Linked DNA regions of Oryzias latipes. The main gene of each other region encodes a partner of the protein of the gene in region 2 in a complex. Links are inferred from orthologs where the notes say so. Each region holds a gene or a part of one and is shown on either strand. Other genes may lie near its edges.

Region 1 (3,451 bases), on a different chromosome or scaffold from region 2:
TTTTTCTAAAACCACGATGTAAAATGCATGAAAACTGAAGAATGCTCTTCTTTAGCAAGCTCACATCATTGGATAGTAAAGATATTTTAAAATCTCAAATGTTTAATAAAACAAAAACGCTCTGAAGGAACACCCTCAGCTTCATGGATCAGAACCTGCAGACATTTTCGGTTTTTACTGTTGCTTCAGCAGATTGTGTAGTTTGAGTGACTTCACCCTGAAACGCATTTAAGTTTTGATCACAATACTAGACCCTTTAACACTGAAATGTAGAATGGCTGTCATTGGCGGCTCTAGCTTTTCCGTTGTTGCTGTGATTGCCATGGGTACAGATGTGTGTGTGTGTGTGCAGAGAGTCTCCTGAAGTGAGAATGGACGAGCTGAAGCCGTTCACCGTTCCAATTTGGATGGTGGAGAAGATGCAGCAAGCCATGGAGGTGCAGAAAAATGTTGACCCCTGACCTCACAACGATCATGCCCCTCACCCCTCTCCCCCCCAATTCTATGCTGTTTTTATAAAATCTCAATAAAAGTGTTGCTTTGCCATCTTGTCTTTTTCATTTGACAATGTTTGAGCGGAGAGAAGCAAATCCTTGGTTTCTGAATGAAAGTGATCCTTGGAGGTTCCTGTCATCATACTGATCAGCTGGATCAGATGCAGCTTTGTGTTGCAGCTACTTTCACACAAGAATTCTGACCCCAAAAGATCAAACCGTTTCCTTGTGAGAGTCATCTCAGCTGATGCTCAATATCAAGTCTCTCACAAAACAGGGAGTGGCATCACATTTATTTAGAAAAAACAACAGAAATGAAGATAAACAGGAAATTTTGTGATGGGCTTAAATCACTCAATGCCTTCTTGTTTGTCTTTGATGGCGACCCTGAAGCGTTCCTCCAGCAGCGACAGCTCACTAATCAAGTCAGTGATGGCGTTTGTGAAGGCTTCCTGTTGAAAAGACAATTTCCTTTAATGAAATACCACCTCAGTCCCTGTCAGCAATGACAAACAAGCACACATGAAAAATGACAAACTTCAAAAACATTTGACTCTGAAAACAATTCTATAGGTAGGAATTTATAACCTCAATATTCCTGTCATTTTTGAAAAGGTGTTTGCTGCAGTTCTAAGAATATTTTTTTGGAATGACAACTCCAATTTTGTCAAATGTTTAAATCACTAAAAGCTCTCATAATCTAATACAGCCTGTAAAAATAAATCAACAAAAAAATTGAATCATAACTGATTTGCACTGAATCGAAACAAGAAGTGTGTCAAAGAAAAAAGCTGCATAAGACCGTTTGTGTTTACACGCTGGGTCTTTGCCTTACCTGTGGACTGTAGTCAGGGGTGGTCTGCACTCGGATGACGATTTTATGTTCCAGGGGATGGGGAACCTTATAACCAGCAAACAAAACCTGAGGATCCTTCAGCAGCTGACTGACAGTGACACACAGGAGAAAAAATATGTGACAACCCTGCTGCATAGATAGATCATAGACGGACTGTGTTTTCATCATGAAAATTGAGCATGAAATTCATGCGCGTCACTCTCGTTTATACATGTAAGTCTTGGAAATTAAACACAAAGGTCACACAATAACACTCCTTATTAGCTAACCAAAACGTCAAGGAATGATAAGCGGGGCTAACAGAACCAGTCAGAAACTGGCTTCTTCTTCTATAATCTATCCATCCAGAGACTGTTAGCTCTGTGACAGTCTGTCTGTTTGTGCATGCGCGGTTCTTACGCTCGGATGATGTTTCCCAGCGTGTGGTCCTCCTTATTGAGCGTGAACAGACATGCGTTCGGCACTTTCGTGTCCTTACTGATGCTGATTTTTTTCTCTCCTTCAAATAGAAGGAATGACTCGAAAGCAGGAGGCGCGTTCATCTTTCCGCGCGACTCAGTGCGCTGGGAACACACCGGAAGTCTTGATATAGAACTTCCGCTCGGAACACACATCCAGATTCCGAGTGGAGCGCCCTCTCCTGGTAGGTATATGAAATTGGTTCTTTGTTTCTTTTACAGCAGCAGTCAAAGCCATGCCTCCATTGTCTCCTAAAAAAAGTTTGGGTTGGGAACAAGTAGCTGTTCTGAGTAAAAGGATATAATTACTAGTAAAGACAAATACGAGATCAACATGATGAAAATCAACAATGTACTTTTTATTAATTTTATTATTTATTTTCATTAACATTTATATAACTAGGTTAAAAGCCTATTGAGATCAACATCCCTTTTTGCAATGTGACCTGGTCAAGAGGTCAGCAGCACATGTCATAAAACATGATAACGATACAAAATAAAACAATAGGATTGGATTAAAATGAAAAGTTTAAAATTAAAGTAGATGTAAAACAGTCAGACATCCGGTGCAAAAACAGATGAGAATGTTAAAGTACAAGAGATGCAAGCTGCACTAGTTGTTCAACAAATTAAAAGCACAGCCACTGATGGATGGACTCCCTTCTTATGCTACACAGAAAAGAAACAAAAAAATCCAAATTAAACAAGTTTTATGTTTTAAGTTGTGTTTATGGTATGTTTATGTACTTTATGTGGTCTGAACCTTTAATCAGTGTCCATCCGCCTGTGTTGTGTGGCTTAAAGAAAGTCTCTAAACCTTTCTTTATCTGTAATTTCAGAGCCAGGATCCTGGCTGTTACTTTTGGTGTAAACTTTAACTGCAGCTTTAAAGTATGTGATGTGAAATTTTAAAAAAATTGTATTTTAGTTGAAAGCCTAAGGGAGCTGCATTGTAGAGCAGTGGCCGTACAGCAAGATGGCCCTGGTTCAAATCCTGCCTGGGGTCAATTTAGGTGGGGTTTGTTCTCTTTATAAATGCATGGGTTTTCTCCAGGCACTCTGGCTTCCTCCCACAGTCTAAAAACATGCTTTGTAGGTCAATTGATTACCAGTATTTTAAATTGTCCCTTAGGTGTGCATGCGAGTGTATGGCTCTACAACAGAATGGGGACCTGTTCAGGGTGTACCCCACCTTTGCCCAATTGTTGCTGGATTGGCTCCAGCAGCCCTGTGACCACGAAAAGGATTCAGTTAGTACAGGAGATAAATGGATAAATGGATCAAAGCCTGAGGGATATGGCTCTAAAATAGCATAATGTAGTCCATGTTAACAGGTAACTGATTGGTCGTTGGCCATATTTCTCTCTACAATACAAGGAAATGATTTGCAGATGAACAATCATATATTTTGTGCGCAGAAACAGCTGCTTCTCAGAGAAAAGCTGTCGCCTAAATGAAGCTGTTACTGAAGCATCTTTCAAATGTCATGTTCAGTTCATGTATCAGTAATGAACTTATTTTCCCAGTTTGGCACCTTCTGTTCTGGTGATCTTAATTATGTTTTGATCACTACGCTTTCTTTTTTTTACTTATGGTGAATTTCTCCTTAGATACAATTGTGCTCATCATGGACGGTTCTGCCA
Region 2 (4,261 bases):
AACTAAAACCAATCGGTGCACATTTTATGGACAAAGGATGTCATAAACATGTGGAAGTTGAGCACAAATCTTCATGACTTTGTTAAATGTTCATTTAAATTCTTGGAAAATAATAGAAAAGGTGTCAGTAGTTGCTCTGTAAATCGCTTTTATTAGATTAACAGAATCACACTTTATTTTATTTACATTTTGGTTTTTGCAACAAAATGGGATTAATATAAGAAATGGACTTTAATGCTGATGAAATACCGCCCTCTGATGGCCGTAGTGTAAAGCTGCAGTTTTGAAATAAAAAGCAGTGAAATAAACACATTAGGGCCCGAGCAGAGGGATTGCAAGGACTCTATGGTTTTTAAAATGTTTATTATTATTCCGAGTAAAGACTCGCCTATTTGAGGCTTAAAAAACTAACCAATTTTTGCACACGTCTCAGAAGTTGCGAAAATGTATTAGAATAAATGAATGTATTACGTGGTAGACCGGCACGGGTGCATAAAAATGGCTCGATAGATTTATCTCAAATGCACACAGACAGGCGCACACAAGACTTGCATAACCAAAATTGTTGAACAGGGGTGTAAAAACAGCACCCATCCCCACATTAGTGTAAAAATATTCATCAGAGTTAAAAACTGATGCCTAACTTTGAATTCTGAATTCAATGGCGTGCTTATTTTTTTCATTTAAGGAAAGATGACAAAAAAAGAGAAACTTCTTTTTCAATTTAAAAACAGAACATTAGAACCAAATAATCTCCTGTAATCATCTTCGTATTTTAGATTTTTAACACAATTTTTCGACTTATATTTGTCGATTAAAATACAAGACTAATATTTGAAAAAGAATGAAATTCTGAAATTAAAAGAAAAAATCAAAACATTGAGGGGTCTGACGTCACATTTTCTAACGCTGGTTGAAGTTTGAGCAGGAGCTGAACATTGTTGCCCTCTGCTGGGGAAAATGCACATTACAGGCAAAGAGACTTTTTTTCGTATGTTTCACAGAGGGGCTTTATTTAGTATGGAAGCATTTCTGTTGCATAATTCAAAAATAAAAGCATTTCTGGTTTTGACTTTTGTTTTTGAATTGTGCAACAGAAATGCTTCCATAAAAGAATGCCTTTTGCATGTGACTCTTCTTAATGTTCCTGCAGTTCTTCTTCCTGCCTGCAGGTGGTAGAGCGTTTAGAAACGCCGGCAACAACAACAACAGTAGAAGAAGAAGAAGTCGTTAACATTTTGGTGTTCTCTGTGTAGTTATCCTAAATCTGTTCACTTTAAAAGGACCAATCTGTCGTAAATCAAAGACGAAAGTTTTTGGAAAGTTTCTCTTTAGAAGATGAAGTGAGTTCTTTTGTTACTGTGACGTAAACAAAAAGTCTAAACCAGCACGTGTTGATGCTAATGCTAATGTTTGGTTTGTGTTGACAGAGCTAGCAAAGAAAAGTTTTTCGTCTGTTAAAGTGTTTGCGTGTGTCTGCATTGGGCTGTTTTATTCAGTCTGTTTGCTGTTTGGTCGCAGGTTGAACATAGAAGGTCTGCTGGTGTATTTTCCGTATGATTACATCTATCCGGAGCAGTACTCCTACATGCTGGAGCTGAAGAGGACCCTGGACGCAAAGGTGGGCTTCTTTCACTCGGGTGTTAGATGGGTTTCTGGGAAATGTAGTGCGGTAATTTCATAAACCAGGAAAACTCACTGGAGACGGTGAAGTGACTGTGTTGTGTCTGCGTTTCAGGGTCATGGAGTACTGGAGATGCCTTCAGGAACAGGGAAGACCATCTCCCTGCTGTCCCTCATTGTGGCCTATCAGAAGGTGAGTCCAGCTCTGCACCTTCTGAGCCTTCATGGCGACAGCTGCTCTAAGCTTTATTTGATTCTCAGGCGTTCCCGCTGGATGTGACCAAGTTAATCTACTGCTCCAGGACAGTTCCTGAGATCGAGAAGGTGAGTCTGACCCCTCCGCAGCCAACGACGAGCAAATCTCCAGGAGCTTTTCAAGTCCTCCGCTCATCTAGGTCGTGGAGGAGCTGAGGAAGCTGATGGAGTTTTACGCTAAAGAAACCGGAGAAGTCAACAACTTCCTGGCTCTGGCGCTGTCTTCCAGGAAAAATCTCTGCATCCATCCTGAGGTAAAAACCCTGAAAGCTGAGGGTTTCCGTGCTTTCTGGAAATGTTGATCAAACAGGAAGCTCCCTCGTCCATCAGGTGAGCTCTCTGCGCTTTGGGAAGGAGGTAGACGGGAAGTGCCACAGCCTGACGGCGTCCTACATCCGGGCTCAGCGCCACAGCAACCCCGACCAGCCTGTCTGCCGCTTCTACGAGGTAGAAAATCGCCTCAGCTTACGGGAAATCGGACCGCATGAACGTCAACGTGGCTGAAGCTCTGCGAATGTTGGGTTTGTGTCTCAGGAGTTTGACGCCGTCGGTCGGCAGGTTCCCCTTCCTGCCGGCATCTACAACCTGGACGACCTGAAGGACTTTGGCAGACGAAAAGGCTGGTGTCCTTATTACCTGGCTCGGTATTCGGTATGTAACCAAGCAGAGGCGCTCAGCACGTGCCTGACCTTTAACCCTTTCAGGGACTGAATGGATCTGGAGAATGTTTTCCTTTGTGTCCATTTAACCAATTCCAATTAAAATCCAGATCAAAGCAGCCCAACTGCGCAGCTGCAGCTGCAGCTGCAGTCAGGTTGCTCAGACACCTGTCAGTCCGTTTCTGTAAAGGACTGGAGGATTTTTCATCAACGACTGTTAATCTGTTCGATCTAAGTCCAAACTTTGACGTGGTCGTCACAGAAACTTGATGTTTGATCCATTCAGCAAACCTCATGCTGCCGCAGAGCTCTGGAGCTTCAGATGGACTTTCTTCTTCGAGATTTTCCCTGAAGAAGTTAAAATTTATGAAGTAGTCGGTGAAGATGAAAAGCTGCCCCTGACCATCACACAACCACCCCCATGCTTGACTTCTCTTCTGATGTCCTTAGTTTGACCACAGCTTCCAAGAAACGTCATGACAAAGAGTCATGACCTCTGACCTGAACCAAGTCATGTGACCTTCTCTCTGCCTTCTGCTTCTATATGGCTGTGTTCTTGAGAAAGTTAAAAACGTCACTATTTACCAAAGAAAATAATCCAAACTCATGTTTAGTTTGTGATTTTTAATGACTGTTGGCATTAACTTCATGTTTTTTTTTTCTATTTAAAATCTCATTTTTCTGTCCTAAGATTCTTCACGCCAACATTGTGGTGTACAGCTACCACTACCTCCTAGACCCAAAGATCGCAGATCTGGTGTCCAAAGAGCTCGCCAAGAAATCGGTGGTCGTGTTCGATGAAGCTCATAACATCGGTAAACCGTCTCTCTTTAGTTTGTTTCATTTTTCTTTTCTTCCCCTTCATCTTTTTTTGTCCGCTTCGTTCCTCAGACAACGTTTGCATCGACTCCATGAGCGTGAACATCACCAGGAGGACTCTGGACCGCTGTCAGAGCAACGTGGAAACACTTCAGCACACCATCCAGAAGTGAGACGCAGCCCAGTCTGCTTTTATCCACACCAGGACGAAAAACATCTGGAGTTTTCTGCGTTAAAACCCCCAAAAATTTGAGCTGTAAAACCCTAATGGCACCAGGAATTGTGGGTAATGGAGTTTCTGTTTGTCATTAACCATAAATCAGACTCATCCATATTAAAAAAAAAAAAAAGCTCAATTATGAAAGGAAATCAAATTCAAATGTTGATTCTGAAAACATCAGAGCTTGGAGTCAAAACTGTTTTTTTTCTTATTTCTATAAACATCTTTGGGTGGAAAAATAAGACGCTTCTGTTTGATCCAAACTGAATTAAAGAGAAAAATCCTGAAGTTTCCTGCCTCTAGGTTCAAGGATTTTTTCTTCATCCTGGAAGTGTCGGTTAATCAGCTGGTCCTCCATATGGAGAAATAAAAGCAAATAGGCGTGTTTTTATTACCATAATCTGAGAATTTCTGTTAAATAATTTCAGGAATCGGTCATGTGTGCTTCATTCCAGCTCCTCTCATCCGATTCGTTCTCATCTGCAGGATCAAGGACACGGATGCCGCCAAGCTGAGGGAGGAGTACCGGCGGCTGGTGGAAGGGCTGAAGGAGGCCAACGTTGCCAGGGAGACGGACGTCTACCTGGCAAATCCGGTTTTACCTGATGAAATCCTGCAAGGTTGGAGCTCGGTCTGGCCGTGGGGTTCTGGTTTCAGAACTCAGACTAACGCTTCTCCCCGCCAG

What was found.
Region 1: ercc2 (region 2) and polr2j share a complex: the UniProt entries of both Homo sapiens proteins name them as parts of the TBP-based Pol II pre-initiation complex. The link is inferred for Oryzias latipes from reciprocal best matches to the Homo sapiens genes ERCC2 and POLR2J.

The regions. Positions count from the first base shown.
Region 1 is NC_019863.2:18,095,464-18,098,914, forward strand, and holds polr2j (DNA-directed RNA polymerase II subunit RPB11-a), read right to left. Parts: upstream 2,005-3,451; 5' UTR 1,965-2,004; coding exon 1,750-1,964; intron 1,439-1,749; coding exon 1,330-1,438; intron 947-1,329; coding exon 845-946; 3' UTR 769-844; downstream 1-768. Other genes in the region: dnttip1 (deoxynucleotidyltransferase terminal-interacting protein 1), read left to right, coding at 353-461. UniProt on the Homo sapiens protein: Core component of RNA polymerase II (Pol II), a DNA-dependent RNA polymerase which synthesizes mRNA precursors and many functional non-coding RNAs using the four ribonucleoside triphosphates as substrates.
Region 2 is NC_019871.2:4,134,704-4,138,964, forward strand, and holds the start of ercc2 (general transcription and DNA repair factor IIH helicase subunit XPD), read left to right. Parts: upstream 1-1,167; 5' UTR 1,168-1,338; coding exon 1,339-1,343; intron 1,344-1,521; coding exon 1,522-1,621; intron 1,622-1,738; coding exon 1,739-1,816; intron 1,817-1,884; coding exon 1,885-1,947; intron 1,948-2,018; coding exon 2,019-2,132; intron 2,133-2,208; coding exon 2,209-2,325; intron 2,326-2,412; coding exon 2,413-2,529; intron 2,530-3,228; coding exon 3,229-3,352; intron 3,353-3,428; coding exon 3,429-3,525; intron 3,526-4,062; coding exon 4,063-4,196; intron 4,197-4,261. UniProt on the Homo sapiens protein: ATP-dependent 5'-3' DNA helicase. Component of the general transcription and DNA repair factor IIH (TFIIH) core complex, not absolutely essential for minimal transcription in vitro.